Oreochromis niloticus: one gene and its partners. The protein of the gene in region 3 purifies or fractionates together with the protein of the main gene of each other region. This does not show direct contact. Links are inferred from orthologs where the notes say so. Each region holds a gene or a part of one and is shown on either strand. Other genes may lie near its edges.

Region 1 (7,788 bases), on a different chromosome or scaffold from region 3:
CTGTATTACATCAGAGAGAGAGAGAGAGAGTGTGAGTGTGTGAGAGTGAGACACACAAACAGGACTTGTGACTCACCAGATTAACGAGGGGACCTCCAGAATTTCCAAACTGAAAAACAATTAGTCAAATGTGGCATTTAGAAACACGATAGGAGACGCCTGAGTCACTGAAAATACACTATCAACATATTCCAGTTTAAATATATTCTATTCAAGTACTCACATCAATGGTTGCATCGGTCTGTATGTACTCCATGTTGGAGTTGGACAGGCCCAGCTCCTTACTGCCTCTCTGCACTGAGCTGACGATCCCCGATGTGATTGTATTTCGTAACGAAAACGGGCTTCCCATAGCAACCACAAACTCTCCCTGTCGGACGTCAGACGACTGGCCGAGTGTGAGAGTGGGTAACGGGTTCTGCATATGTCAGGAGAGAAAGAGCATCTGAAATAAAGCTCTTTGTTTCTCTGTCTGTGGTGAAAGCACACATGCTAGTCTAGTTCCTTTCACTGAGACTGGCCCCTATTTTCTTGCTCACCCTCGCAGAGATTTTGATGGTGGCGATGTCAGTCACAGGGTCGACATCCTGCACGGTGGCATTATACGTCTCTCCATTGGTGAGCTTCACACGGACACCTCGCTTGTTGGCTACAACGTGGGCATTAGTGACGATGAGACCATCGCTGCTGATGATAAAACCGGAGCCGTTTGACACTGGGACCTCTCGCCCTGAGAACGGGTGTCTGTAAAGTAAATGCAGCTTATGTTACTGAACCTGGTTCATCAGGGTTAGTTTATCATGGCAGGAGATACAGTATTGTGCAAAAGTCTTGAGTCACCCCTCATTTCTTCATGTGTGTCTAGGAAAATGGAATATAAGTTCCTTGTTTTTACTGAAACGTGCAAACATAGAGTTACGGTATATGAGGCAAAAACAGTGTTTGTACAGTTCTAATTAGTTTTAAAGTTGATATTTGGTGTGATCACCTTCATTCATCAACACTCTCCAAGTTCTCTTGGAATTTTTTTGTAGTTTTCAGGAATAGTCTTTCTGTTTTTCTATTCAGATATGCTTGATTTTGTTTTACATCATTGTTATACTAAAAAAAATAATAATAAAAATAGAACTGTCAACAATAATAAGATGGATTGGCAGATGCTAACAGAAATGTAGCATCGAGATCTGATGCTACTCTTATGTTTGCGATTCCATAAATTTTGACATCCCCAACATCACAGGCTGAAATGCAGTGCACTGTGTTTTAAAGATGCATCTCTCAGGTCTTGTGTCAGGTCTTTGCTGGATTTTGTCTTCTTTTGACTTTCATTTAGACAGACTGTTAGACAGGCCTGTCACTTCTTCTTCTTCTTCTTCTTCTTCTTCTTCTGTTTTTTTTAAAAAAAGGAAGCGTCTTCCACTTGTCCAGGTTCCTCAATTTTTTTAAGGACACACTGCTGAGATGTGTCATGTTTTCAGCTAATAGCTTTTTGGAATCATCTTGATTCAAAAATACTACTTCATGCTTTTCAAACTGTTATCTTTGGCATTTTGCATAGATTCAGTTAAAGAAAAAAAACACTATGTGGTTTTTTTTTTTGACAAGCTGCAGTAACAAAGTGCCTAAAAACACAATTCAAAAACTGGTTCTCAGGCAAGTTGTCCATTATTCCTCCAATGAGTTAAGTGCCTTTTTAAATGTCACTTCAGCTTCATGCTTCAGCTTCATCGGCCAGCATTAAGTAGCTTAACAAACAAATTTAAAAAAAAAAAAAAAAAAAAAAAAAAAAAAAACTCTTCTGGAAAAAGGTCAGGTAAAAGGACTGGACTGAAAATAGGTAAAAGCAGATCTCCTTTATGAGAGCTGTTGCTCAAGGAAAACACACACACACACACACACACAGTAAAAGGTTATTGTGACACAAACAGTAAAGGTGGGGGCTGACTGTCAGGACTTTACCTGATTCCACTTACTGATAAAAACAAGACTATCCACTGCTAAAGTATATCAGCAGCTGATGATATTTTTTGAAAATAAAATCACAAATGCTTTGGGTCCTTTTCTGTTGCATCTGTAATAAACAAAAAAAGAAAATGCCCCTTTTCTCGTGTTTTCTGGTACATCTCCGGGCAAGTAAGATCAGCTTCTAGGACTGAGTGCTTATCTCCAGTGTGTGCTCACAGCTGTCTGAAATCTTGATTTAGGAAAATAACCGAATAAGTCACACACAGACACAGAAAACAAACTCACTGACATTTATTACCGTCAATGGCACCTCTCTAGTTAACTCACCTGCCCACGATTTCAATGTACACCACAGCTGGAGTGGATTTTTCCACCACATCTGCGATGAAGTTGTACTTAAATCGGGGGCCGTCTGGTTTGAAGGGAGAAGCGCACTGAGCCGATGGGAGGATGTGCTGGAGAAATCCCCGGGATATTGCCACTTCTTTGTCCCCCGTTAGGTCTTTTTCAGTGTCCAGAAGCGCAGCACCACAGAGCCCCAAACCCACCGACACGGAGGTGAGCAAAGAGGAGCTTCTGTTGCTGTCCCGACCGTTTCTTCTTCTTCTCTCCCCAGCTTGAGCTCTCCTGTCCGGGCTTGTGTGTCCTCCTGCAGCCTCGTGGTTACATATCACAGCAGAGGAGACACGACTGACTGTCCTCTCAGCTAACGAGTTAAGTCCTCGGGTCTGACACCAACTTTGAGTCCTTAATGCTGAAAGAAAGCCCCTATTGACAGCCGCTGCTGCCATGTTGCATCACTTTACTCGCTCAACGTCGGTTTGAAGACAGCCAAAAAGCACTTTATATCCCAATGTTTGCAGCAGTCTGTTATTCACGCGCCTTCATTTAAAGTGTACCGTTATCTAGCCCAGTTAGAATAACGGAAATACACAAAAAAATTCTCCACCTATTAATTTTTAGCAAAACACCCTCAACACGGTAATGTCACTAGTAGTTTATGATTGCGCCTGCGTGGTAAGACACTTTCTTCTTCGGTGCTGTTTTTTCCTCCCTGGACTTTTGTGGCTTCTGTACTCATTACTGCCCTCTGCAGGGGAGAAAATGTAGAGGTTAAAAAAATCACCGAACTATCTGTGAGTTACAACAGAAACGGTCAGGTTTGGCGTATTTTTTCATGTATATGCATGTTATCAAGATAGTAAAATTTATTTATTAAGCGCTTTTTACAGAAAAACTGTCACAAAATGCTGTACAATAAAAAGAGTACAATAAATAAGACCTGTGCATACTAATTGCGTTATACTATTCTCCTTAAGTACAAGTACCAATGGAAAGTTGCCACATAAAATAAGTTGCTAGGCCTATGAATTATGATATATAAATTAATTAAATGCATAAAAATTTCCAAAATATTATTGCTTTTACAGTTAAATCCTTAAAGTTAAGGAAAAGCTGTCTGAATCTAATATTGTTTTCTTTTTTTATTATTTGCTATGCAAATAAAGACTTTAAGTTAATTGATTTTACTCTTGGGGAGCTCTTATCCACAAATGGAAGGTGGTTAGACTAATAAATGGCTACAGTTAAAGAGAATAGAATGTGTGTGTGTGTGTGTGTGTGTGTGTGTGTGTGTGTGTGTAAAACTAGAAGAATTTAATAATTTAAACTACATGATAAAGAACAAATATAAGTTAAAATACACAAACATATCAATTACAATATATGCAATACATATATACATATACATACATATATCAACTCAACAGCAAATATAATTTTTTATTTTGGAAAATTACAAAGTGAAAGAAATTCACATTATGTATTTATGTTTTCTGTATGTATCACGTGAAAAAGTCATCTTCTTTTTAAAAAAATCTTCATAAAGAAATTAATTATGAGTTACTTTTCTGAAGTCATATCACAATGGTTGTCATTTTTTTAGTCTTAAATGTAACTGACTATTTTAGATTGAATTATATTGAATATTATATATGTATAGTTCTTCGTTTATCCATTTATTATTATTTACTCATTTTTTTTACATGCTCAACCTTTGGTGAGTAATAAAAGTATCATATTTATTTGTATTTTCATGTTAAATAATAAAATATATATTTTTTTAAACTTACAGAATGCAACGTTTTCAAACTTTTAAATAAAGTTTTTATTCATAAAAACAAAACTCCAGAGATAAGCGGCAGTGTTTAAAAATAAATCACTTTTCCTGGAAACTTGGGTCCAAATGGGATCCTATTGGTGGCTCAGCTGGTTAATAAAGAGGGACAACTACTTACTTACAATGACTTCATTGCACTATATAATTTTCCAATCAGTGTTCAGGAATTCTCAGTGGTGCTTGGTGCCATACCCTCAGGGACTCTAATGTTATATAAAAACACTGACAGCTCAATATCTACCTCAGTCACTCTCCCTGATCCAGCTGAGTCACCAATAGGAAAAATCTGCTTTTCACAGGAACTTGGTAACAGCAATAAGAGAATACGTAGTTTATTCCAAGAAGATGTCGTCTCTCTCCCATATGTAATATCTTACTGGAACCGATATGTTCCAGATATCAAGTGAAAGACAGTCTGGATGATCCCCCATAAATATTTGATTGTAAATAAGGTGAAGGAAGTCTCATTTAAAATTCTACATAAATGTTATCCAGCCAGTCACTACATGGTAAAATTTAAAAGAGACATAAATGCTAACTGTACTTTCTGTGGGGATCATCCAGAAACTGTGACACATCTTTTTTTGGTACTGTTCTTTTACACAGAGATTCTGGAAGGAATTTAGCAGTTTTGTTATTGTCCATATTTTAAGGGAATTTTCTTTACGATGGGCAAATGTTTTATTCTGTTTCTTTAAGTTCCCCAAGAGGAATGATAAATGTTTTTTATGATAAAATTTGTTAATACTTTTAGCTAAATTTTTTATCCATAAATGTAAGTTTACTAACAAAACACCATATTTCTGTCATTTTTTTAAGGATGTGGAAATGTATATACAATCAATATCAGACTCTACCAACAAAAAGGCTCTCAAAACAATATATATCTGTGAATTTTTGCGTGTATTCTTGTAACTTTTCACCCCTGGCTTTGTGTGTTCATGTTCTGTTGTTTTGTATACTTCATCTGTTCGTATACTCATTGTTTGTTAAATAAAGTTTAACAAAAAAAAAAGAGAGAGAGAGATAAGCGGCAGTGACGTACTTGTTGTGAAAGTACGTCACACGGTTTGAGCCAAAGGCGGCAGAGATGAGAAATTTAAAATTTGCGGGCTAGCTCGTTAGCTGCTAGCTCACGTCTCGGACCTATAATCAGGTAACTTCAGCTCGAGAATCATGGCTTCGTATCTTGATTTATTACAACAGACAAAACCGCAGTTTGAATCTCCGGCCAAAGTTTTTGCTAAGCTCAAATCCAAGGTGCAAAAGGAAGCGATGTGCGCAAAAGACGGCAACGGTCCGCCGAACAACGCTCGAGAGGAGCACAGAGTTAATTTAAAGTCGCCCAGGAAGCAGCAGCAGAGGATCTGGGTGACCGACGAATTCGATGAGAATCAGAGGTTCGGCAGCGAAGCCCAGCCTTTGATCCTCTCGCCCATTAAGAGTCCACAGAAAACCTCCCTGTGTTCGTATTCAGACTTTATCCGCAAGTCTTTGGAGGAAACGCCTCCAGTGGTTGAAATGGGACTTGGATGCACAAGAAGCGAGAGACGTTTCCTGGAGTCGACAGCCGTATCTCACCCTCTCTTTCTGACTAATCATATCCACAAAGAACCTCCTCAGGTCAGAGACTCGGATCGGTTCATCGTGTCCAGCAGGACTCCGTTGAAGGTTCAACCTGTCGAAAGTGACTGCAAGAGCATTGCTTCTGATGAAGAATGCGCTCCTCTCCACCAACCCGTGTCTACAGCCAGTGCCTTTTCCCCGATGGTGAAGAGGCTGAGGAAGAGAAAATGGGAGCAGCAGGAGTTTAACAAAGTCAACAGCACTGAGGAGGTGAGAAATGAACTCACATGTCAGCCTCGGCAAAGGAAAGCCCCTGCTCTCAGCGAGGAGAACACCCACAGCACCTGGATGAACATCAGAGGATGCTCTGCTGACCAACCAGAGAGGATCCCCGAAAACATGTTTACACCAAGAAAATTAGTCGCAGAGAGACGTGAGACATTTTTTCCTGCCTTTCCCCACCTTACATCAGAATATAGAGGTGTATAGAAATCACCTGGTAGACGCCTACAATAGAATAATAATAAAATATTTCTTCTGTTTTGAAACAGGCTGTGGTGTTGTTTTGGAAAAAATTCCTATAATGTCTCCAGCTAAGATGTTTGCTTATATGAAGGAGAGAGAAAGCAAAAGGGAACGGCGGGGAGTTCATGAAGTTATCAATACCACGAGGGACATCTTTAATGCAGGTGAGTGTGCTATGGTGTTAAAAAAGCAGGACATCCGGTTTAAGCCGTTTCTATAGATATAGTTTGAGTTTTCCCAGGTCACTGTGCACAACACACCTTTGCTTATGGCACAATATCTTTCTCATAGTTAACTCCCTTAGGTCCGGAGACAGTCCTCTCTCCACACCCCACAGTGTTGCTGAGAGGGACAACAGCGTGTTTACAAATACCTCAGAAAGTGATGTTCCTGTAAGCCGGCGCATATCAGAGTCAGCTGACTGCCAGTCAGACGCCGACCCCTCCGCGGACGCTCTGACCTCGGCTGTGTCGGCGAAGCCCGTTTTGCTCGAAGACCCGCTTGTGCTCAATTCTCCGCAGATCTTGGTGCCGAAGAGACAAGAGGCTGTGTTCAAGTGCAACAAGTGGCCTAAGCAAGCGACATTCCCCAGCGTGAGTAAAACAAATGCCTCTTAATGAAATATAAGTGAACAAATGACAGGGCTTGTGTCGGTTGAGCCTGAAAACTCCAGCTCTTTGAAGAAAAACAGCTTAGATTACTGATACATTTCAAGAGCAAATTGGAAAAATAGGTCAGCGGCAGTTTGCATTTCCCTATACGAGTTTTCTCTGGTTCATCATTCTCCCCTTGTTTCCCTCCTTTGGCAGGAGAGTGTGATTTATCTCAAAAAGTGGTTCCTGAGGAAAAACAGCAAGGGCCTCTTTGTTGATGGAATCCATGGGTAAGTGTTGTTCGATGTAATTTTGAACTTTGTGAATGAGGAGAATGACATGATGTCACATTGCTTTTCTCATTCGATACATATTTAGACATTAGACTTAGACATTTTTTATGAGGTTCATTGTTAACTGCTGTCTTTTCCTCCCAGGGAAGACAACATACCATGGAACAGTAATGTCATCATGCACAGGGTTTCTAAATCTATGATAAAGACCATCTCCGGCAGGGTTTACATCCTGGTTGGGAAGATGAACTTAAAAGTTGAATCTGGTAAGCTGACTTGAACCTTTTTCCAATTGTGCGTGGGAAGAAATTAAAAATGGATAAAAAGATGAAGCAAAGCTGCACAGAGAGTCTTATGCATGGTATTACATGGATTTACTTTTTTTTTTTTTTTTTTTCAGAGTTTCCCAGGTGGTTTTTGAAAAAGTTTGAAAGGGGTTTTCCTCCTAACTGGAAGGCGCTTTACGACAAGATGCTGACAGAGTCGAGAGAGTAAGAACACCAATTTCACATCCCTGCTCTTGCAGTCAGTAGATTGTGTTAGTTTTTGCAGGGGGATTGTGACTAAATTAATTATTTTTTGTATAATTTGTCTAGATTGATTGTTGTACACCTTTGGGCTTGGTTAAGACCTAAATTTTGTTTTCCTGTAGCAACCAAGGCAGAGG
Region 2 (7,766 bases), on a different chromosome or scaffold from region 3:
CATCCAGTATTTATTTGTGTGTGCATGCATATGTGTGTATGTTTCAATGTATATCTATTTTTATCACCTAGACTCATGGACAGGGAACATGTTGCTCTCAGGGGCATCAGAGGTGACTGGTTCCTCTTGTTGCTGGGACTGAATGTGGCTTTGCCACTGGGACCCACTCTCATCAGTCTGAAAAACATTTTGGTGGCAATGTTTGGTCGCTACTTTTTTTGTCAGTTTACGATGACATTTTGCAAATATTATTATTTCCTCCACTCTTTATGTCAAGCTGTCTCTAACGCTGGAATAGCAGTATCGATCTTCTGGACCCTAATTTATTCATATTTAGGCTCTTTATCAGCTTTATCAGGTGACATTTATTAGATTAGAGACAAATATTGACACACACATTACATTTATTAGAATATTCATAGGATTGAAAATCTGTTCAAGTTCTACATACGTAAAGTACCTGGACAGAGGTTGAGACGTGTGTCTTGGCCTGCATGCTGCCTCTTTTGTGGAGTTCCAGCAGAGTGTCATGCTCACTCTTTAACTGATCAAAGTCGTCCTGGAGTGTCTTCAACTTCACAATAAAAAGAAAAAAAAAGTCACCAAAGACTGTTGAGATGTTAAGTCATGAAGTCTACATATAGTATCCAGCATGAGATACCTGTAGCTCGGTCCGTTGGTGTTTCTGTTCAAGGGCGTCCCAGTCACACTGGGGCACAACACCCCAGTACTCTGCATTCATCCTGTTCAGTTCCTCCTGGGCGTTCCTCAGGTCTTCTCGACACACCTTTAGAGCAAGCTGCAGTTCCACAGGATCCTTCCAATCTAAATGGAAACACATGTAAGAGCATGACACACTTCCCTATAGACATTTATATTTTATAAACATAAAAACATATGTTTAGCTGTGCTCTAGAGGTTACTGTACTTGGGTTTTTTAAAAATATAGATAATGTTGGCCTTTTCCATCTTTATGATGAGCCAAAGGTTCTCAAGGAGGTTTTCAAACTTTTTCTGGCATGCCCCACATCATAATCAATAATAATACAAAAAATGTTGGAAATTAGTGAAATAAAACTTAAAAGAACAGATTTTTGCAAACTTTCACAGAGTTAGAACTCTTTCTAACTCACCGTTAAAGAAACACTGTGTTAAAGGTGAGTAGCTAAAGGTCTACTATGGGCAGAAATTCAGTTTCTGATGGCACAGATTTCTACCCATAGTCTACTCACTGGTATTTGTTTCCAGCAAACAAGCACACTTCCCAAAGTGTAAACTATCTATTTCTATAAAAAACTTACAGAGTTATTCTCCATTACTACAATAGTTACAGAGAGTCTCTAGTAAGTCACTGGAAATGTTTCCTAAGGAATACCATCCAATAAAGATATTGACAGTTTCAACGTTTAAACAAATTATTATTTTCAGTATCACTTAAAGGGTATCAATTGTTTTTCCTTAATTTCCATCGTACATATACTGTTACTATGCCGACTCCTCATAATAACCTTCAAATCATTTGGTCAGAGTGTGAGAAAGTAATCCCTTTGATAAATAAAATAAAATAAATCAATTAATTAATCCCAATAAAGAATATGTTATATTGTCTTAAAACCATACACGTTTATTTTGGGAAGAAATCACATCTAAATTCCCATCTAAAAAAAAGGACCTTAAGTTATTTTCAGTTCACTGTTAAGTAGTTAAAGATGTAATAGATGTTGTTATAACTGTACTTTTGTCTGCAGAACGCTCCTCCTTCACAGTACTTTTTGTCATGTCATTGAGCTGCCAAATCAGCAACCTGCGAGCATCACGCTCCTCCCGGTACTGCAGATACTGGTCAGACAGTTCTGACTGCAGATGATCCACCTTAAGAGGAACAACAGGCAGTGGGGTGACTGATATGATAATGATGAGCTATTAATTGATGGATAAATTTCCTTCATGCGCAGGCTTGTGTGTATGCTTTCATGCCCTTAAGCTTTTATGCTTTCATAAAAACTTTCATGCCCTTAAAAGTCACATGTCTTGATGCATTCTCAATCATCCAGGTAAGTAAATCTCCAAAAGTTGATTCTGTTTATCTAGATGTAGCATTTTCAGTGGGAGAAACGTTTCGTCACTCATCCAAGTGACTAACAGTCACATGATTAATTAAACAAAAATAAAATTAAAAGTATGCCATTTACCACTGCCTGCACTGTCTTCTCTCTCTTTCTTATGGCTTCAATCTCTTCCTTTAGCTTCTGCTTCTCCATTTTCAAGGCAGCAATCTCAGCCTGCTCCTCTGCCCAGCGAGCTTGAATCTTTCTGTCACATTCCTCTGTCACCAGCCTCAGATGGGACTGCAGTGGTTCCAGCTTTTTGATTTGTTCTCCCTGACGAACTGAAAAGATGTACACAATGCATGCATTACAGCAAATAATCAACTCACTGATATAAAGTCTTTATACAAAGAAAAGCTAACCTATACAAACTCCATCTTTTTACTGAATAGACAATTAGTTTAAACTAGGTTAGAATAACATGTTGTGACCAACTCTTTCTATGCTACAATAGAACTTATCATTTTACTGCCTACACAGACTGCTAGGACCTTTTAGAAAACTATTGGAATCTAGTGGAATCCTTTCCACTAATTTTATTAACCTCTTAACCCAGATTTGCTCTCACAAATGCTGAGTCGAATCCTTACAACGATGAAGAAAACTGTATGATTATGTATAGGATGATTTAGAAGAAAACACTCAAAAATGAATGGCAAAGAGACAGAATAGTACCCAGAGAAGACTCAAAATTATTAATATAATTACTGAACATTAACTTCACTAAGTTTTGAGAAATTAATTCTGAATAATATTTTTTTGACAAAGAAATACATTGCCTGACTTTGCAAGGCTGGATGGAACCACACTGGTTGGTGTGTATTATGACTGCAAGAAAGGTCCTAATGAAATTATACTTTGCAGTCAAAGTAGGCTAGACTAAATACTAGGCTAAATACTTTAGCCTAGAATCCTCATAATATATTCCCATAACCATCCTGTCTCTAAAGAGATATCTACGTTGTTGTTACTATTGTACATCCTCTCTTTGCATGTGCATTTGAACCAATAAATTTAGTTTGATGTAAGACATTTACCACTTAGATGTGAGAGAATATTGATATTTATTATAAATATATAACTTAACCCTATTACCCTATTATATTAACCTATTACCCAAAGGTAGTATATTTTTCTGTTTTTCCCAAAAATGTTGTGGGATGCCATTTCTAATCTGGTTCAAAACCTTCTCAAATCTGCTATAAATTGTTTTTTTAAATAGCATTTTTATAAAATCTATACAAATCAGGCTAGCTTTCTAATAGAGTTACTGACCAAAGGTGTTTTCATATTCCTTTTTAATGGCAGACAGAAGGGGTTGGTAAGTTTTGAAGGCAGTGATGAAACATTCAAATGCATTGCGGTAGACCTGTAGGCAAAGTAGAGTAAGATTTTAAGTACTTAGACTGCAGCAAGAAAATACGTGTATATCTTCTAAACATAAATACAATCAACAAAAACATTTCACCTGAAGTTTCAGCTCCTGAAATTTCGGCTCATGTGGGTCGATAGCATGAAGCTCCTTGCTCACATAGTTCTCCAGCTGCATCAGAAGTTGTGGCTTTCTGTCTGGGCCTGCATAAAAGAAACTGCCTCCTGTCCAGCACTGCATGATTGGTCACACAAAGGCACACACAGTACTGTGAAAGGAACTTTGCTGTTACACTGAAAGATAACGTTTATAAAGATGCCATAAAGTTCTTAAATGATCTTTATACCAATGAAAAGAATTTAGATGTTGGCAGGACAAAGTCAGACTGCTGTTTGTGAAATGTTGCCTGATTTACGTACCTTTCTCGTTGCACATGGTTGGACAGATACACCACCAGCACTTTCCTCTTCATGTCCTTCCTCTGATTCCTGGGCTGTGTAACTTTGCAGATTGTGTTCATATGTAAGTCTAATATGCAAAGAACACAGTCAGTCTGCCTTAAACGTACTTTAAATAAGCTTTGAAATACAAATGTATTTATACATAAAAACAAACGTAGCATGATATTTGGTGTAAATGAAGTCATTTTATCACTTGCCTTGTTTTTTGTGACGGTGTTAAAGGTGGAAATTTTATATCTTTGTTTGGTGACATTTATAGCTTTGATATAAAGGGTAGACAATAACAAACACTTAGCCCGTTTAAAACTTTTGTATTTCTTCCGTTTAACTCAATGAGATCAGCTTTAGCGTCGCACAGCACAACATTTGTAGCAGGGTTTCCATGGTAACGATGACTGACTACGCAACAAGACCCCACGTAGTTGCCCGGTGCGCGCCTAACTAATTTTAAAAATGGCAATGATTTTATCTGCTCAACTCAATCATTAACTTTGATATATAATAACTAATATATGGCAACGTGTTTTATAAAGGCTATTTCACATATCTGCTATATTAATTACAATATAATAAAACTTTGTAAACAACACTGTGTTTTTATGAACAGGCACATATTTCGCCGTGGAAATAATACTGCTATTAATACTTAAAAAGACCCTGTCACTCACAAATAAATACAAGTTTCACCATGTAAAGTTCAAAATTAAATTATATAACGTTTTGAAAACGTGTGTAAGTTTAACAGACGAAAACTACATTTCCTAGCCACCTATCTCACTGGAAGGCCCTAAACCCGTCTGACAGTAGTGGAACTCTGTAGTCATTTCTAGAGACATTAGCATAAAAGCGAGCGTACAGCTGAACTACAGTACCCACACGACACTGTTTCAGCCTACAGTACATTCTGCTGCTTATCCGGGGATGTCACACCGCTGCTATTTTCTCCCCTCAGTCCCTCTCACTCTCAGCCTACAGCTCCAGCGGACTGACACTGGGCTTTGGATAGAAAGAAACGAACAATAAGATACAAAAACAGGAGGCCAAAAAAATGACAGAGCTCGGAGCGGGAAGCCTGCCGCTGGGAGATCCTGCTTTTAATTACCAGGAGCACGAGCTTAACGAGAGGCTGAAGCGGCTTTACCCGGCTGTAAACGAGGAAGAGACCCCTTTACCCCGATCCTGGAGCCCCAAGGATAAATACAGCTACATTGGGCTGTCACAGAACAACCTACGGGTCCATTACAAAGGTTAGAGACCTGGCTCATCACTGATGGGCCTAAGTGTGTAGTCAAAACAGCAGTTCAAATCTGTCTGTGTTGTTGCGGAAGGGGGGTCTCTCTCTCTCATACACACACACACACACACATACACACTCAGTATGCGATTATGTTGACTGTGTATGTGCGTGTGCAGTCCTGGTAAATCTAGTCTGAGCTGCCTCTCCTGTCCTGTAACCTTGCTTTGTTTCACGAATGAGCAGAGGAATGCCCAGATGGGTGACAGTGAACTCGCTAACCCTGGCCATCGGTCTCATTACCGTCACACTGAAATTCATCTTCAATATCATGGCTCTTCTTTGTTTATTTACTGTTTATGACGTTACTGCTTTGCAGTAAACTCACTGCATCTGACGTTCTCCTCGCTTTGTACTGGAAGGGGACACTGGCAGCACTAACGACGCATAGTTTATTGGCAAACCCCTGTCTAACTTACGGGAGCTTGCTAACAGAAAGCTGTTAACCAAACACATTAGTTAGCCTTGTGGCTAACCAGCTAACGTTAGCCAACTTAGCTGTTCCTGATATTGAATTGAGGACAGTAGGTTCCGAGGTGGACACCAACAGAACTTGTTGTTTTCCAGTGCAGTGTTAGTTGAAATATTAAAGCTGTACAGTGCTACAGCAAACAGGATAAAATGGCATTGTTTTGTGTTTCTCGCGTGATTTCAGAGCAGTGTTCTAGAAGTCTTTTCCAATCATTTTTTCCGTCCACCTCCATTCAGATCTGCGTGCCCCGAGCCTAACAACAGCCTCAGGTCCAGTCTCTAGCAGGCAACAGAGGTGCTGCCGTGAGAGAGGAGGCCTCTGCGCATTACATTAGGCCAAAATGCACCGTTCTGGTAATAAATCCGGAGTATCGACAGGCTCTGGCATTTTAACGTTAACAGCAACCTGACGGTTCAGTCAGTCTTTCATTCAGATGGATAAAAGCTGACAGCAGGGCTTTTAGCCGTCTCAATTTAGCAACCACCTATATCAAAACAAGGTGACATCCGTGTGACGGCTTCTGTGCTGTTCAGACACCCCCGACACACACACACACACACGCACACACACACACACGCACACACACACACACACACACACACACACACACACACCAAAACAGGAAAACACTACAAGACTTTAATCACACACTGTGAAAAATCCCAATTGATAGGCTACTTTGGGCCCTGTGTAGAAGGCGAGAGGATGCAGGCAAGATGTGTAATTCAAAATTAAGGTTGTGTAATCCATTTTGTGAGGTTTATGGAGTGGTGGTCCTACAGTTTGTAAATAGCAGGGAGGGCCTCTTATTTATAGACTCGGGCCTAAAGCCAGATACAACCGCAGATCATTTAATGCATAATTGATCAGGTCCCTGCTGATGAGCAGTTGAATATGAGCTTCCATTCAGTTTATCTGTTGTGTTGAGAATGCTGATTTACCTTTTGCTATAATCAGTGCTTATAAGATCATTGTATTCTAGTCTAGAATTACCTAACAGCTCTGGCACTGGCTCAAAGTGGTGTATTGCTGAGGATGAGTCATGCCATTTCTTGTTGAGGTTATGTTGGACATGGAGTCATTATGTCTATGAAAGGTGCACAGATTCAGTGACACTGCACTATTGTTAAGGCATGACATATAAATAGGTTTGTTCTGGAGTGTGTGAGATATTTTTTTCTGCTCCTGGTTGTTCCTGCTCTGTTCCCTCACCCTTGTGGTTTGGATGCTATTTTGACCAGCGTGCCAATTTTCTCTGTTCAAGGCCATGCAGTGTCTACCTAGTCCTGCTGCACACTGACAGAGATTAATCCTCGCAGCCTCAGCAGCAAGATAGATACTTAAACAAACTTAATGACTTTGTACCAATAAATGCAGCAAATGGTGTTACTTTTTACACCTCTGGAGATGCAAAGACAATTTTTTTATTAACTTAGAAATAAAGAGAGGGTTACAGTTGCATAGTAGGAATACATAGTAGGAATAAATATAATGTTCTGTAACACACCCTATAGTGTTTTCTTTGCACTTTTAAACTATTACACATATAATAAATTCACCCTGATGAAAGACCAAGCTGTTGACTAAGGATTTTGTTGGAATACTAATTGTTTTGCTGTAGATTTATGTTTTATGAATTACAGTAATCACAATGTCTGTGTACCAAGCAAAATTTTAACTGAACAGCAATTTTCAAAAGCAAATAGTTTCAAAAAAGTCAATTAATCATTTCTTTGACCTGTGAGAGAAGCACTTTAATATATACTGTGAATAACCATAACAGGACTGAAGTGGAACGAAAGGAATAGTATGGGATTTCAAATTCACATACTTTTCAAAATTTAGTTGAGCAAAAGGAAAGCCTTTATCTAAATAGGAGCATGATGATTTCAAACTACAACCCATTTTTTGAGCTATGTTGAAATTAAAGTGCACATATAGAGAAACCTACAGGCTGCTGCGGAATAGTCACAACTAAGGCCCCAGTCATTCTCTGTTGTGTACAGACACCAAAAGCTGGAGTAATAATTGCTGTTATACTTCTTTGAAATCAGATGTC
Region 3 (6,952 bases):
TCCTATGACAGCGTTCTTCATGTCACTGTGAAGGCATACAAATACATCCAAATGAGACATGTGAATGTATTTGAAACAACATAATATAACCTTAAGAGTCAATATGAACACCTTGATTTATAGCATGTTATCATTTAATTGCTAAGTTATAAGCACATCAGGCTGACACAGGTCAGGCAGGCTGACAGACAAACAACAACAGAAATCATTGATATCAATCTCATGTTCTACATATTCTCATGTAACACATTAGAAATGAACAGGCTTCATCTAAGTGCATTTTCGCCCTGTGTGCTTCTGCTGCTGTTAGTACCTCCAGATGATATGTGATATCAAACTGCAGCGAAGTGAGTGGAAAAGCACACTGATCTAGGAGGCAGTTAAGGTGGTCAGGCGCTTGGCTAAAGAAGCGATACAAGTCGTAACCAGAGCTAGTCTCCCCGTAAGTTAAAAATAACTAAATAGTCCGAGTCCAAATCACAGCAGTCCAGACCAAGAGTGAGAGTGAGACACAAAGTCACAAACAGCTAAGCCTGTGCATGTAAGCACACACTCCTTCTGGAACACTGTTGTCACTAATGTTTAGAATTTGTGACATTAAAAACAAGCACATGTGTTGGTAAATGATAAACAGCCGGTGGAATTAAACTCTTAGCAACAACAACAGCTGAATTTAACATAACAGTGTGGACTGTTTGTTTTGGGGGGGTTTTAAACCACCGATTTCGTTCATTTTCAACAAAAAAGAAAGAAAAAAAAAAAAATCAGGAAAGCCCAAAGATGTGTTATTGCAGTGGCTGAATAAAGTCTGCAAACTGGAAGTAAGCAGAATTTCACAGCTGTCATTTACTGCCAAAAAATTACTTCAAACCTTGTCAACCCTTTTTTCCTGCACTTTGTAAAACAAAATTTAAAACAAGATCAAAAACAAACAAAACAGGACACGCAGAGATTTTTCTGCAATGTCTCCACCCACCCAACAGGTTTTGGCCTTTCACCAAGAGAATTAATGAAAACTGTGAAAAAAATATATGTAAGACTTCACTTTAATTTACAAGTTTGCATTTTGTGCATCAAACAAAAACAAAAAAACTCTATAAGATGCACAGACTTCTTGCCTTACCTATATAAGGTGCGACAGTATTTTTGTGTGTATTCACATAAGAACTATTCTGACACAGGAAAAACCCTGATCTACATGTGTATATGTCATACGCGATCAGACCCACACTTACATGACTCCCTGAAGCACTTTCTGTGGGTCGGGGTCAAACAGTCTGTCAACATAATGCCGACTGGTGGCGGTGACTTCCTGCATTAGAACAAAAAACAAAGCAAAAACACAAACATTACTTTTAGAAATCACTGACCTCACCCTGGATTTACCTTGTACAGTGTTTTTTCTCTACACTATCAAACGCTGTGCTCCACATCTGACAACAGACAAAGTGCACATATTTCAGCAGAGTAAAACCCTACGGAATTTGGTTTCTAACTGGACAAATATTAACCATTAAATAAACAATAATTAATTATACATAAAAAGGGCAGTTTTAAATTGTTATTTTTTACAACTAAAATAACACTTTTTGTGTTACACGCAGAGAAAAATACAGCAGGCTCCACGGCAGGAGCCTTTAAAAGCTTTTTGACACTGCACCCGGTGGCTGCATGCGACACCAGAAAACTTTGTTTATATCACTGGCAGCTTTGACCAGAACTTTCCGGAGAAGTCAACGTCCTCCAGCTGCCAACGAAGTCACACTTGTGATGCCAGCACGTAGCTCACAAGGTGTCCCAACACGTTCTGTACCTGTGTACCTCTCATTCAGACAGCCACTGTGGCAAACATTCATTTCACAATTACACAGCATTAAGCATGTATACACAATAAGGGATCAACTCGTGTTATAAAAAAAAAAAAAAAGAGTCAAGCTGAGATGCTAAAGTATCAGTTACCATGATATCTTCAATCACGCTGCCTCCTTTCTGCATACACCTACCATGGGGGGCGTTTCACTATTGCTCCTTACGCGCTTTTTCGTGGAACATTTTGCGTTATATTAGCCAAGTTACAGTTTGCAGTGAGTGTCACTTGCTAGAGTAAATCCCAGAGTCTTACCAGTTACTACAGCTCTGACTGCCGACACACTACATATAAAAACACCTCAAGAGTAAGGAAACCAGTGAGTTAGCAAAGTTTGCTTCGCTAGCTTAACCGTATGCTACAGTTGCTAATGTTACTTGCAGGAGCACCTAACGTTAGCTAGGTTAACAATGTTAAGTTTGCTATTGCAATTAAGACGGCGCATAACTTAAAATCAAATAATACTGAGTGGTTTGAATAAAAATCTCATTCCTACAACTTGTTATCCAATGTGCATGATGCATTCTATAAACGTGTTTTGACTACTGCAAAACTGGTGACAGCACTGGTACTCTTAGCAATTAGCTGCTAACTCATTCCGAGTAACACTGACAGCTAGTTTGTTCGCTTAATTTTGTTTTAGATTACAACGACGGGGCGAGCGGGCACAACTCGCATGTATTCCCTTTATTGTGTTCAGAATGTTCCCGCCCGCCCGGGGAACGCGAGGAAACAAGTCATTCTCTACAACAGCTACGTAGGCGGACCGCTACATGTTGCAATGCCTTTAACTTAGCTTTATGGCTAACAGAAAAACCTTTATACTTGACACCTTCTAGCTGACCATACAAAATCAGCTACTCGCAGTTGGCGCTTGCATTCTATAACCTGACACTGCTAGTTGAAATTATAAAGACTGGCACTCACAGACAGCACACTGATGCGGAGTGGGGCCTCCAATAAGCACGCCATCTCTCTTCCTCCGATGGAGCGCCCCAATCGGCGCAGCAGTCTGGAGACACTCCACCCCCCAGAGCAGCTTTGAGAGGCCTTTAAAAAGTAACTGTAGCCTAATCACACAACTCTTCGCTAGCGTTATTTCTAAAACAGGCCTCTATATTCTTCCGTAGGCTCAGCTGTGATGTCCCGTAGCAGATATGCAACAAAAACCAACACCGCTAACTTAGCGAGCTCTCTGACAGACCGTGGACTTGTCAATAAAGTAAATATTGTTTATAAACGTGACGTAGTTGCTGTCTGCTTGAATTTGATTCGACACAGTAGGTTGACTCGTGCGAACTATGCATCAGATTAAGGAATAAATATAAAAACGGTAATTTTTAAAATACAATATATTTTTAAATCAAGTCTTAGCAACAAGTATAGTAATATAATTCTACACATTTATAATGGAATCTACTGCTAGATACTAGAATTTGATGAAGAATTGCGCATGCGCTCGTATTGGTAGAGGCGAGGTGGGAAAATTCATTCTGTTCGTTTCTTCCACAAACATAAGCATGTTTTTTTGCACAAGTTTGCAACTTTATGGATTATAAACCGGCTCAAAATACTCGTTAATTATACTCCCATATTTGTAAGTACTCAATTCGTTTACTTTGCTCTGGTTTAACAAATTTCCTCCATGTACGCTGTCGAGTTGTTTCGCTTAATTACGTAGCCTAGCTAGCTGTTGCGTGTTGTATCGTAGGACCTGAGCTCCTAGTGTGAGGATACGAAGTAGAGGATTCTTAAAAGCAAGATGGGACACATTTGTCAGATTAAAAATAAATAAAAAATAAAAAGTGTCGTGCACTACTTACTGCACGTATTCAAGGGCTACCCCCCGGTGCAGCGTGCATTGTTGAGTCTTTAATGTGTTAAAAAAAGGTGCTAGGGTCATCTTCAGTTCGCATACCTTTCATTTAATTTATTGTTTCTAGAAAAATGAAACATGACAGTCCATCAGGAGCTCTGCTCACGCGCTAAAATTAAACGGGTGTCTACCCGATTGCTCCTGGATAGCTTTAGTCACATGGTAATTCATTAGCACTGTTTAAGATAATCCAACACCGTATTATAGGTTATTAAAGTCCCTTTCCACTGTGTGATTAAAGGGCAACTAAAACTATAATCCAACTAGATGTGAGAAAAAAAATCGCAACTGAAATGTATATTAGAACTAGAGTTTAGCGAAATTGTGTGTTAAGTGAAAGTAATCATCATCACCATTGTATGTCTTTATAGACTGCCAAATCATCTTTTAGGAGGCCGTGGACCTCAGCTTGACTGTGTCCACAGAGGCCGATGGTGTTTAGATGAGAACAGAAGCCATCCTTTAGTGTGAATGTGAATTTCTCTGCACGTTGGCAGATCATCTGTTTGCACAGGATGAAAATTGCAGTAGAAGGCTGTTGCCATGGGGAGCTGGACAAGATTTATGAGACAATTGAGTATCTGGAGCAGAAGGAAGGGGTGAAGGTGGACCTGCTGCTTTGCTGTGGAGACTTCCAGGCAGTGCGAAATGAGGGAGACTTGAAGTGCATGGCAGTGCCTGCCAAGTACAGAACCATGCAGACCTTTTACAAGTAAGTTCTTTGTTTATGTTGTGTGTTTTGTTTTTTTTTTTAAATCAAAGACACGAGTAAGGACATTTAAAACTTTATTATTGTCTGTGTTGCAGGTACTATTCTGGAGAGAAGGCGGCTCCGGTGTTGACCATTTTCATTGGAGGAAACCACGAGGCTTCCAATCACCTGCAAGAGCTGCCTTATGGAGGCTGGGTGGCACCAAACATTTATTATCTAGGTAGAGACTGACTGATTCCAAATTTGTTTGCCAGCTTGTCTGACTCGCCACAGGCCTGACCTATATAATCACATGTCCCCAGGTTATGCTGGTGTTATTCGCTACAAAGGGATCAGAATTGGTGGCTTATCTGGCATTTTCAAATCACGTGACTACAGAAAGGGTATTTGTTTTTGTTTGTTTAGCTTTTCAAATAGTTGAGGCTACACTGCTATGCATCATATTTACATGGAATGTTTTCACTTTAAGGCCACCATGAATTCCCTCCATATAATCCTGAAACGCTTCGAAGTGCATACCACATCAGAAATATCGAGGTTTTCAAATTAAAACAGGTAAATCTCACAAGTTCTTCCACAGAACTCTAAATGATTATCCACTTGTTTAGCTAAATGTACAGTGTTAATTTTACATGATTATTTCTGCTAAGATCCAGATGCCCATAGACATTTTCATGAGCCATGACTGGCCTCGTGGAATCTACTACTACGGCAGCACGAAGGAGCTGTTACGAAAGAAGAAATTCCTTCGTCAGGAGGTGGAGTCAAACTCTCTGGGAAGTCCTGCTGCAGAGGAGCTCCTAGCTCACCTCCAGCCTAGCTATTGGTTCTCTGCGCATCTTCATGTGAAATTTGCTGCCATTATGCAGCATCCGGTGAGGGTGACAGTTGTTCAGTTAGAATTACTGCTGCTAATAAGGATTTAAATAAGGTTTAAATCGTTCTAACTATCATTTTGGTGATCTCTTATTTTCAGCCTAAAGGTAAAAGTGCACCACACGTAACCAAATTCCTGTCTCTGGATAAATGTTTGCCCCACAGGGAATTCTTACAGGTGGGACAACTTTTTTTTTTAATTGATATATTAGGATCAGAGTCTGGGTTAAAGTGTGTGAGCTAACACCTTTTGTTTTTTCAGATTGTGGATATTCCTGAAAGACCAGGTTCATCTGAGGGTCTTGAATATGATCCAGAGTGGCTTGCTATTCTCAAGGCTACCAACACTCTACAGAGGACCACTCCTCACCCCTGGAACCCCCCAGAGAATAATGGCTTGCATGAACGGTACACACGAATACACATAAAAGTAACAAGGCCTGTAAAAGCAGAGTTAAGTTGCTGCTTGCATTATTTCAACAACATCAGTCTCCCAGAACTAAGACTTTGTAAAAACATTAGCTTGAACATAGAGTCAGTGTCATGCAGCAGGGGAAAGGTCACTCTGGAAGACAGGATCTGTGTAGGATGTTATCACCACCTGTGTTGCCTTGGCGAAATAAGCAACAAAAATAAGCTCTATGGGAAAAACAAGTTGGATATTTGCATGTTTTGTTTGGCAACATGTTCTCCACAAATTAATGCCACTTTTATGATTTTTTGAAGCGCAAGTAAAACGTTAATAACCAATAGGAGCACTAGAGCTAGTCACTGGAATTTTTTTTAAACTACAGTGCTCAGCTGTGTACAACGTCACGACAGAACAAGAATGAAGTTGCTGGTGCAGCTAGTTAGACCTGTGAAAGTTAGAGAGGGAGTATGAAACTCACTGCTTCAGCTGTTGGTTTTCATTCTTTTCCTTCTTCCCAAAGCCAGCAAGCACAACTGAGCGCGGAGCAATTTGTAGTGTGTCACACTGCTTAGTCATGGAAATACATTTGTATGTGTAGATGGTAACGAAAATAAAGCAGAAGGAAAGATTTCTCTGGACGCCAATATTTGCTTAAATCAGCTCAATGCATGTTTTCAGTGATGCCAAAACAATACTTCACATAGTGTCTTTGCGTCCATACAGGGAGATAGTATTGTGTAGCCTAATAATGAGCTGCCATGTTATTGGTTTATGGACAGGCAGAAATATAATGTAGTCTGAACCCAGCACTAAGTAACTACACCACAGTTGCATGAGTTCAGTGGCACCACCACCCAACAGAACTTTTATTTTGTCATTTCTGCTGACCTTTGCTTCAGATGCTTTTACTCATTATGACTGAGCAGTTTTTGTTCATGCTTTCTTTTATAATGTTGGCTTGCATACACCCATCAGGTGGGACTTCAGCGCTTCAGAAGCCGCTATGATGCAGGTGGTGGAGGATCTGAGCGGTGATCTTGGCATTCCAGACAACTTCAGTCTAACGGTGCCATCCTACAACCCCAACAAGCCCCATCCTCAGGCCACCCCGAGCTACAACACCAACCCTCAGACCACCGAGCTTTGCGCCAAGTTGGGTCTCACAGACATCTATGCACAGGTCGGGCGGGGAGAAGATGAGGTGGCGAG
Region 4 (7,417 bases), on a different chromosome or scaffold from region 3:
ACTTTACCATTTAGTTAGAAAACAAGTCTGTGTAAATAAACAATAATAGTTTACTGAACAACACTGGATTCATTTTTATTAAACTGTAAACAGAAAAGGCATAAACAGTTGAGAATTCACATCTGCAAGAAAAATAAGTCTAACAGCCTATAAGGAGGAAAAGCACCAGACATATAAATGATGGTCTACCAGCAACAGCATGCCTCAAGAAACCCCATAAAATTAAGTACTCTATCTATATTATATGGACTCATTCCATTTCAGCTGAGTATACAACTCTGCTTTGCTTTCATTTCTCCACTCTAGGCACATCCTCAAGGAGCAAAGCCAAGAATGTAAGGCTACGTTCACACTGCAGGCGAAAGCGCATTAAATCCGATTTTTTTGACCCTATGCGACCCATATCCGATCATGGTATGACTGTGTGAACAGCACAAATCCGATATTTTCAAATCCGATCTGGGTCACTTTCGTATGTGGTACTGAATCCGATACATATCCGATGTTTTAGAAAGCGACTGCTGTGTGAACGGTCAGGTCGCATTAAATCCGTCTTTTACGTCACTGACACAAGACAGACGCCAATTATCAGCGCCGGAGAAGACATCGCGAACGCTTCCTGGCCATCCAGTGTAGATGTTAGTGAAACTGTTGGGAAGACAACGTGAACATTTTATTTGTACTGTATAATCTGCAGATTCTGACAGAAATCTGCAGCTATCCTTTGAAGCAGCGCTCCTCTAAAACAGCAATAAGGATCATTATTAGGTTATTTACATTATTATGTAAATAACAAAAAACTTAAAGCAAAAATTGGGAAACGTAAAGTCCGAAGTCTCTATATTAAGGGCCATCAGTCAAACAATACTGTTTGGTCTGGGTCTAAACAGAGCGCGTTGTGTGTGACATCTTCTTTTGCGCATGCGGGCCGCTTTGAGCGTTCACACTAGAGAGCGTTTGCTGTCACATTTTATTTATAGTGTGAACAAGCAGACAAAAAAATCGAATTTGATCAAAAGATCGGAATTGAGCATTAAGACCTGCAGTGTGAACGTAGCCTTAGTGTTCAAGTGGAGTTACAGAAGATGACCAAAACCCATCAAGCTAAATGCAAAGAAAGAATTCCCACAACTGTTACCTGTTTAAAAAAAACAAACAAAACACAGGAAGAGAAGGCAAAGGTGAGGCAGCAGGCACAGCACCCACACCTTCCACTTTCTTTTTCAGGTAGATTTTCCCTTACAAACTTCCCAACACAGCTAAGCTTTATAATGTTCACTACATTACACTGTTATTAATAATCATTTTTGGAATGTTTTACTTACTTTTACTTGACAAGTTCAAGTACCTGGCACACTGTTAAAGTTGTTGTGGTACGGTGACCTGACATGTAGTTACTTTTTTTGGGAGAAGGTTACAGAAAGTGGGGTAGCAGTTATGGTGTGAGTAATAACACAGACGTGACACAGACGTGTAATTGACGTGTTTCCAGATGCCCCGTCTTAAAATGTCAAAATTTCCCAAAGAATTAAGAGCATCCCAGTAAAGCAAAAGGTTTCTCAACCCCATTGGCCTCTCTGTGCAGACCGCACAATTTCCTGTTTACACACCTTCACAAGATGTTCCCCTCTCTAAAATATTAATGTTAATTAATTAGCCAAGCCACTTACCCATGAACTGTGGCCCTATGAACCTACACAAATCACGACGTTCATGGACAACTGCTGTTCCAGGTCAAAAAAATTAAAACTCATCTTACCAGAAATGAACCTACCTGTGGAGGATAGTTGCTCTCAGAAGACCACCTGGAGGACTGATCGTTAGGTTTATCCACCAAGATATTCCTAAACAAAAAGAAAGGGACAAGTATTTAGCCACTGTGGAATATTATCCCACCAAGTCAGCAGAAAACGCGCAAAGACAGCAGTGAAAAGTAGGGCCGAATACAGGTCTGTGTGTGTTCCGGAAGCTTATGACAGTAGATTTATCACATAACAAAACTACTTTTTGGAGTCACGCTACATTCTGTTAGAAGGCTCATTTAGGTAACTGTTGTTGTTAGCCAACTAGCATTAAGTCAGCTACTGCTGAACTGTTTACTGAGTGCTGAACCAGCAACAGGCGAAAGACGCGAAGCTATGGGGAACTTCGTTTATATTAGATTATAACATGGGTGTTGGCGTGAGCGATAAGTAAGTTTTCCTTTCGTTACGACAGTTTCAGATAGCCTATAACCAAGCTCATTAGCATAGCTGCTAAAGCAAAGCTCTATGGTTAGATAACAGCAGCTAGTTGCCTACTTCAGCTCTGGAGTCCAGTTAGCTAACGTGGACGTTCGTTTTTCACGTATTAAGATACCGAATTGTACACTATGTAATCAAAGCGTAAAATATTATACAGCTGTGACAACGGAAGTTACAAAGAATAACCTAGGCGTGTTCCAATGCCAAGCTTTTGGGGTTGTCACTCTGGAATAATATAACTATAAGAGAAGAATACACCATTCAGTTGCTTTGTTTACGTTTTGAGGTAACGCTCCAATTGATATCCTACACTGAAGTGGGAAACTGTCCCTTAGTTACCCACACATTTCACAGAAATCACTGAGCGTCATTTCATCACACATAAAGTACATCGTAAGCTACTGCCTCCAAGAAATGTTTAGCGGAAAGACAACATTATCATTATCGGGCGGCTAAATATCCGAAACCAAACGCCCCATACGGTAGCTAGCGCTAGCTTGCTTGGACCGCAGACAAGCTAGGCCAGTCGGGCAGGGTGGAAGAAACACAAGTGCGCCGAGGTGACAAAAGACCACTTTCCACCGCAAAACCTAATGTATACGCTGGGCCAGGGGATGGGAAAGATACTCACTCAGGTAAATATGTAGACGAGTAAGAGCTCCATTTAAAAACGCTGAAAGTGAGGACTCTGCTCTCGGGAGCGACAGCCATCTTGTTGCAGAAAATAACAGACAGCGGGAGGTTAGCAAGGAGCGAATATTGACAGCTCTTAAAGAGACAGTACACATATTTGTATTGTTTACGAAGCGTCCTCGGTAGCATGAACACACTGCACGATGCAGTTATCAAGTCAGCTTTTCATATTCATCGTAACAAAACTCGTATTTTTATAAATTATCTGGGGGGGTTCAAATATCATTTAAGCTGAAACATGTTAACTTAAATCGATAAAACATAAAAAGCGAATGATAATAAAATAATAACAATATTTTATTCCGGAAAAAATAAACATATACTGAGGACCTCCATGACATTAATGTGCTTTGAGGCCACAGGCCGATCTTCTCCGCCCCTCTCCAGCCCCATTCCTCCCAGTCTCTCGTCAGCGTGTTCCTAAATATGTACATCATCCCTAATTACTACACAGCTCCACAGCTTTGGAAGTAGAGTTAACCAAAACTCTTTAAACCTGATTCAGAAGTAGGGGTTTCAAAATAAATACATAAATATTAATAGAATAGAATAACGACCCCCACAGAAATAATAAGCTGATCATACAGTATCATACAGCTGACTGCAGTGTGTCCTCTCTGAAACAAAGACAGCAGTGTCCCTTTTCAAAAAGCACGTTTCAGGTTGAGCGTAGTGTTTTACTATATGTGAAGTCACTGAAGCTTAGAGAGTGGGTGAATCATCTGGTGACTAACGCGCTTTATTCCGGTTAGACACAGCAAACTCAGCCTCCTAATTTACAGCAAACACTTTGAAAGAAGATGACTCGACATTTTTCAGTATATAGTTGATTGTGTAGTGATTGTGATTTGAGCTAAACGCTATAAATTACCTCCACGGATTAACATACAAGTGGTCATAGCTACCATAACGTCAACCACTGGTTTTCTTGACTGGTTTTGTTGGATCACCACAAGCTGTGCTCTGCTGCAACTGGATATTTTACTGTCAGTTGACTAAAGACACATGGCAGCTAAGTTCTGTAACTGGATGCTTGTTCTTAACAGATAGGTGTGCCGACCTGAAAGCAACACTTTGTAAAAATGTAGAAAATAGTCTCTGAGATCAAAGTGATACCATCACTCGCTTTGTACCAACTAACACTCCAGCTCTTTGAATGATCGAATAGTTTGGGCTGGTTCGCTCTGCCCTATGCAAAGATTTTTTTAATGATGAAGGCCACACCTCGAAAAGCGCTGGTCACTTGATAAAGCTGTTCCCTGTCCCTATAAGTGTCCTGGAGTCTTCACATCCTCAGATCTTTGTCTTCTCCATGCACCTTGGAAGTAGGTGAAGTTGTGCCAGAATAATCTGTTGCTATCGAAGATTTTTTTTAAAGCAAAATCTCAGGCCTAACAGTGACTGGCAGGGGATAACACGGTACATGGGACTGTACATATAGAGCGCTTTTCTACTCTCGCTGAACATTGAACAGTGCTTTTCACTGCGAGCCACATTCATCCATGGACAGCAGCTTTTCTAACAATTACACACATACTGTAAGACTTCAGTGGATGCATTGGGGATAATGTCAGTATCTTGCCAAGGACACTTTCAAGATATGGGCTGGAGAAAGTCAGGGATTGAACCAGTGACTTTCAAACCAGTTGCTGACCTGTTCCAGCTCCTGCCTATTTAGAAGGAAAGCTGTAACATTCATATTTGCCTCGTCCCCATTTGAAGCACATGTTTTTGTAGCAAACACTTGGTGCAGTGAGCATATATTCGTCATTGGTATCCTTTTCCCCATTTGTTCCCCATTCACTTCACATGTGTTGTTTTATTGTCCGTATTAGTTTGAGTTGATATTCAGTTGCCACAGCATGCACTTCCTATCATGCAATTCAAGTTTTTTCAGTCTATTTTCTTTCTTATAAAGAAATCGAAGCTCAATTCCAGAGCGACAGTTAAATGGTGACTAAAACAATCAATACAAATTGTTGTGATGATGTTATTGTCATGATACGGCTGTGTGGCAGGCAGGATGTGGGATCCAAACGCAAAACACTCAGAGGAATAAACGTAAAGAGGCTGCTTCGTCGCAGTAGCATCATTTCACAAAACCAAAACTAGAAACTAAGAACAAAAACACCGGGAAACTTGGGACGGCAATCTCAGAAAAGCAAGGTGAAACACACAGCACGGAGAGAGGACGACAGAACAGTGACAGAGAAACACAGGCCTAAAATACACTGAGGGATAACAAGGGAATGGGACACAGCTGGGAGTGCTCACACATAACAAGACAAGGGGAAAGCAAAACTATACACACTGACACAAGAGAGGACTGTCAAAGTAAAACAGGAAGAATAGCACAGGGACGCGGACTTGATCTGAACGAAGGGAACACGGAGAGACGGGAGACGCGAATGACCGGGGAGGAAGATCAATAATAATAATAATAATAATGATGATGATGATGATGATGAAAATCAAAAAACCAGGACACTGGACTGTGACAGTTATGATATTTATAAGATAAAACATTTGAAATAAGTTTATAAAAGTGAAAATTCAGAGTTTGAGAAAATGAAAAACTAATTTGAAAAGCTTTGCTTCAACAGCTGCTAACATGTGGCGGGCATCTTTCATGCTTGGTCTTTTCTAGATTGGTTACTTAAAATAAACGAACCAATGATTGTTATTTTCGGCCTGATAGTTTAAAGCCTGAGTGAGCAGTGTGCACACGGCGATGGACGTCATGCTTTAGACTCGCAGTGCACTGTGGCTTTGCTGCATAAAAGGAACCAAGTTTTGCCGGCTGTGTCACTCGTTCAGACGAGCACAGAGCTCAAGAAAAGTAAGCAAGGGGGAGCCGAGAGGTGTCTTTTGTTGCTGAGAGTTGTAATCCACTCTAATTCAAACCACAGGGGGTCTGTGAGCCTCAGAGACCCCTGGACTTCTGGTATTTTCACACGGTCCTGACTGCCACCAAGTCTCTCCATCTCACTGCCGTACATAGACTTCAAAAAAGAGCTTAAGAGCTGTATGTACTGTTCCTAATCTACTGTACTCACTAACCTTATGGCAACTGCGATACAAGGTCTGCACCTTTATCAACCTATGTTTCTAATTTAGTCCAATATTCAACAACACAGCCACGGAGCAACACATCTGACACACGGATGAAGTTCTAGACTCTCATTGTTGTCCTTAGTATTCACCCATCCAACAAAACACTGACAGAGTCCAACAGAAGGCAAAGACAACTAGGTCACGCGCACCAAAGATGAACAGCGAACATGAGATAATAGAGGTGACAGCAGTTTGTGTCTCGTTTCAGGCATTTTCCTGAAGTCAGTGTAAGGCAGTAAGCGCTACATTATTTGTTTCTATAGCAATTTAATTAAATCAAACTTTGAAAAATCATGCTTTAAAGACATAAAGATGTACTAAATGAGAAACGGCAGCCCACGGCTTCCCAACATCGCCCAGTCTTTCTTTGGAATGTTTTTGTCAAATCTCAGCAAAAGTGTTAGTTTTTGATGAATCATCCACAAGTGGACTCCATCCAGGCTTGATGATGGTGTGCACTGAATGATAACAGTGTTTCTTTTAAGCACACTTCCAGCACTTGGCAGACCCTTACTTCCACTTACTAGAAATGGAAGGGACGCTTGTCAAGTTTCATGTGCATGGATGTAAACTGGGAACACAAGTGAGACGTGGTTTACCACTGTGGAACACAGGCGAGCGTGGATGTTTCATTTTTCTAAGTGTGGGTTAGATGTTGGGTCACGTAATCGTTGTCGAGCTGAAGCACGATGTTATCTGTTGTGTAATTGTTTGACAGGTACATTTTGTATTTGCAGTGATAATAAGTTGGGTGCTGTGCCTGTTAATGAGGGACTGGAAGAAGTTTGGTTTGTTACATTTTACAGGATGATACCTTAAAACTCGTCCATCTGAACTGAATATCTTTGCACTGGTAGAAATGCTGCGTTTGTTATAGACAGCACAAAAAGCTGTAAATAACAATATAAAGTGATGGCCCATAATGTGTTACAGCCAACATTAAGCAGACGAAGAGAAACATTAGCACTGACTCGAGGTTTGTTTTGCATCCAGTATTCATTATCCTGCGGTTCCTCGGCCTCTGCTTTCCAACAACTCTTGAGTGAAATATAGAAATCCTTAAGGAAGTGTTAATGCCTCGCTGCGTTAAACCGCCAGTGAGTAAATGTGTGTTTGTTGTACACAGTGTTTGTTAGAGTGTTCCCTGCTGCCTTGTTGAGAAGCAACATAGACTGTATATAAAGGATGGCTGTAGCCACAGCGAAGTCATCCACCAGTTTATGGAATATTGGTTTCAAGCATTAGCGTTTAGAGCTAGCGCTGACTAGCTACCCAGGTTGATGAGATGCATCTGTTAATGTGAAATTAAAAGTTAATTTTGTTTTTAAATATAACTTTAATGAATAACTTCAGTTTTTTAAGCTTTA

The links.
Region 1: the proteins of armc8 (region 3) and serine protease HTRA2, mitochondrial purify together in Homo sapiens (affinity purification with mass spectrometry; 5 studies listed by BioGRID and IntAct, with this or other methods). This does not show direct contact. The link is inferred for Oreochromis niloticus from reciprocal best matches to the Homo sapiens genes ARMC8 and HTRA2.
Region 2: the proteins of armc8 (region 3) and ranbp10 purify together in Homo sapiens (affinity purification with mass spectrometry; 5 studies listed by BioGRID and IntAct, with this or other methods). This does not show direct contact. The link is inferred for Oreochromis niloticus from reciprocal best matches to the Homo sapiens genes ARMC8 and RANBP10.
Region 4: the proteins of armc8 (region 3) and mkln1 purify together in Homo sapiens (affinity purification with mass spectrometry; 4 studies listed by BioGRID and IntAct, with this or other methods). This does not show direct contact. The link is inferred for Oreochromis niloticus from reciprocal best matches to the Homo sapiens genes ARMC8 and MKLN1.

What each region holds. Positions count from the first base shown.
Region 1 is NC_031983.2:11,985,854-11,993,641, forward strand, and holds the start of serine protease HTRA2, mitochondrial, read right to left. Parts: upstream 3,018-7,788; 5' UTR 2,757-3,017; coding exon 2,293-2,756; intron 745-2,292; coding exon 540-744; intron 419-539; coding exon 224-418; intron 110-223; coding exon 77-109; intron 1-76. Other genes in the region: mis18bp1 (mis18-binding protein 1), read left to right, coding at 5,321-6,143, 6,262-6,399, 6,527-6,828, 7,045-7,118, 7,266-7,387, 7,522-7,612, 7,774-7,788.
Region 2 is NC_031972.2:6,977,704-6,985,469, reverse strand, and holds the start of ranbp10 (ran-binding protein 10), read left to right. Parts: upstream 1-4,766; 5' UTR 4,767-4,989; coding exon 4,990-5,188; intron 5,189-7,766. Other genes in the region: tsnaxip1 (translin-associated factor X-interacting protein 1), read right to left, coding at 68-177, 461-574, 662-825, 1,737-1,872, 2,193-2,389, 3,384-3,477, 3,577-3,714, 3,900-4,008 and 1 more. UniProt on the Homo sapiens protein: May act as an adapter protein to couple membrane receptors to intracellular signaling pathways.
Region 3 is NC_031987.2:32,721,763-32,728,714, reverse strand, and holds the start of armc8 (armadillo repeat-containing protein 8), read right to left. Parts: upstream 3,004-6,952; 5' UTR 2,840-3,003; coding exon 2,795-2,839; intron 2,482-2,794; exon of another isoform or gene 2,007-2,481; coding exon of another isoform or gene 2,004-2,006; exon of another isoform or gene 1,996-2,003; coding exon of another isoform or gene 1,960-1,995; intron 1,313-1,959; coding exon 1,236-1,312; intron 26-1,235; coding exon 1-25. Other genes in the region: dbr1 (lariat debranching enzyme), read left to right, coding at 3,009-3,089, 4,241-4,455, 4,551-4,675, 4,758-4,838, 4,925-5,010, 5,106-5,330, 5,432-5,509, 5,594-5,739 and 1 more. UniProt on the Homo sapiens protein: Component of the CTLH E3 ubiquitin-protein ligase complex that selectively accepts ubiquitin from UBE2H and mediates ubiquitination and subsequent proteasomal degradation of the transcription factor HBP1.
Region 4 is NC_031981.2:37,619,902-37,627,318, forward strand, and holds the start of mkln1 (muskelin), read right to left. Parts: upstream 3,020-7,417; 5' UTR 2,955-3,019; coding exon 2,875-2,954; intron 1,845-2,874; coding exon 1,775-1,844; intron 1-1,774. UniProt on the Homo sapiens protein: Component of the CTLH E3 ubiquitin-protein ligase complex that selectively accepts ubiquitin from UBE2H and mediates ubiquitination and subsequent proteasomal degradation of the transcription factor HBP1.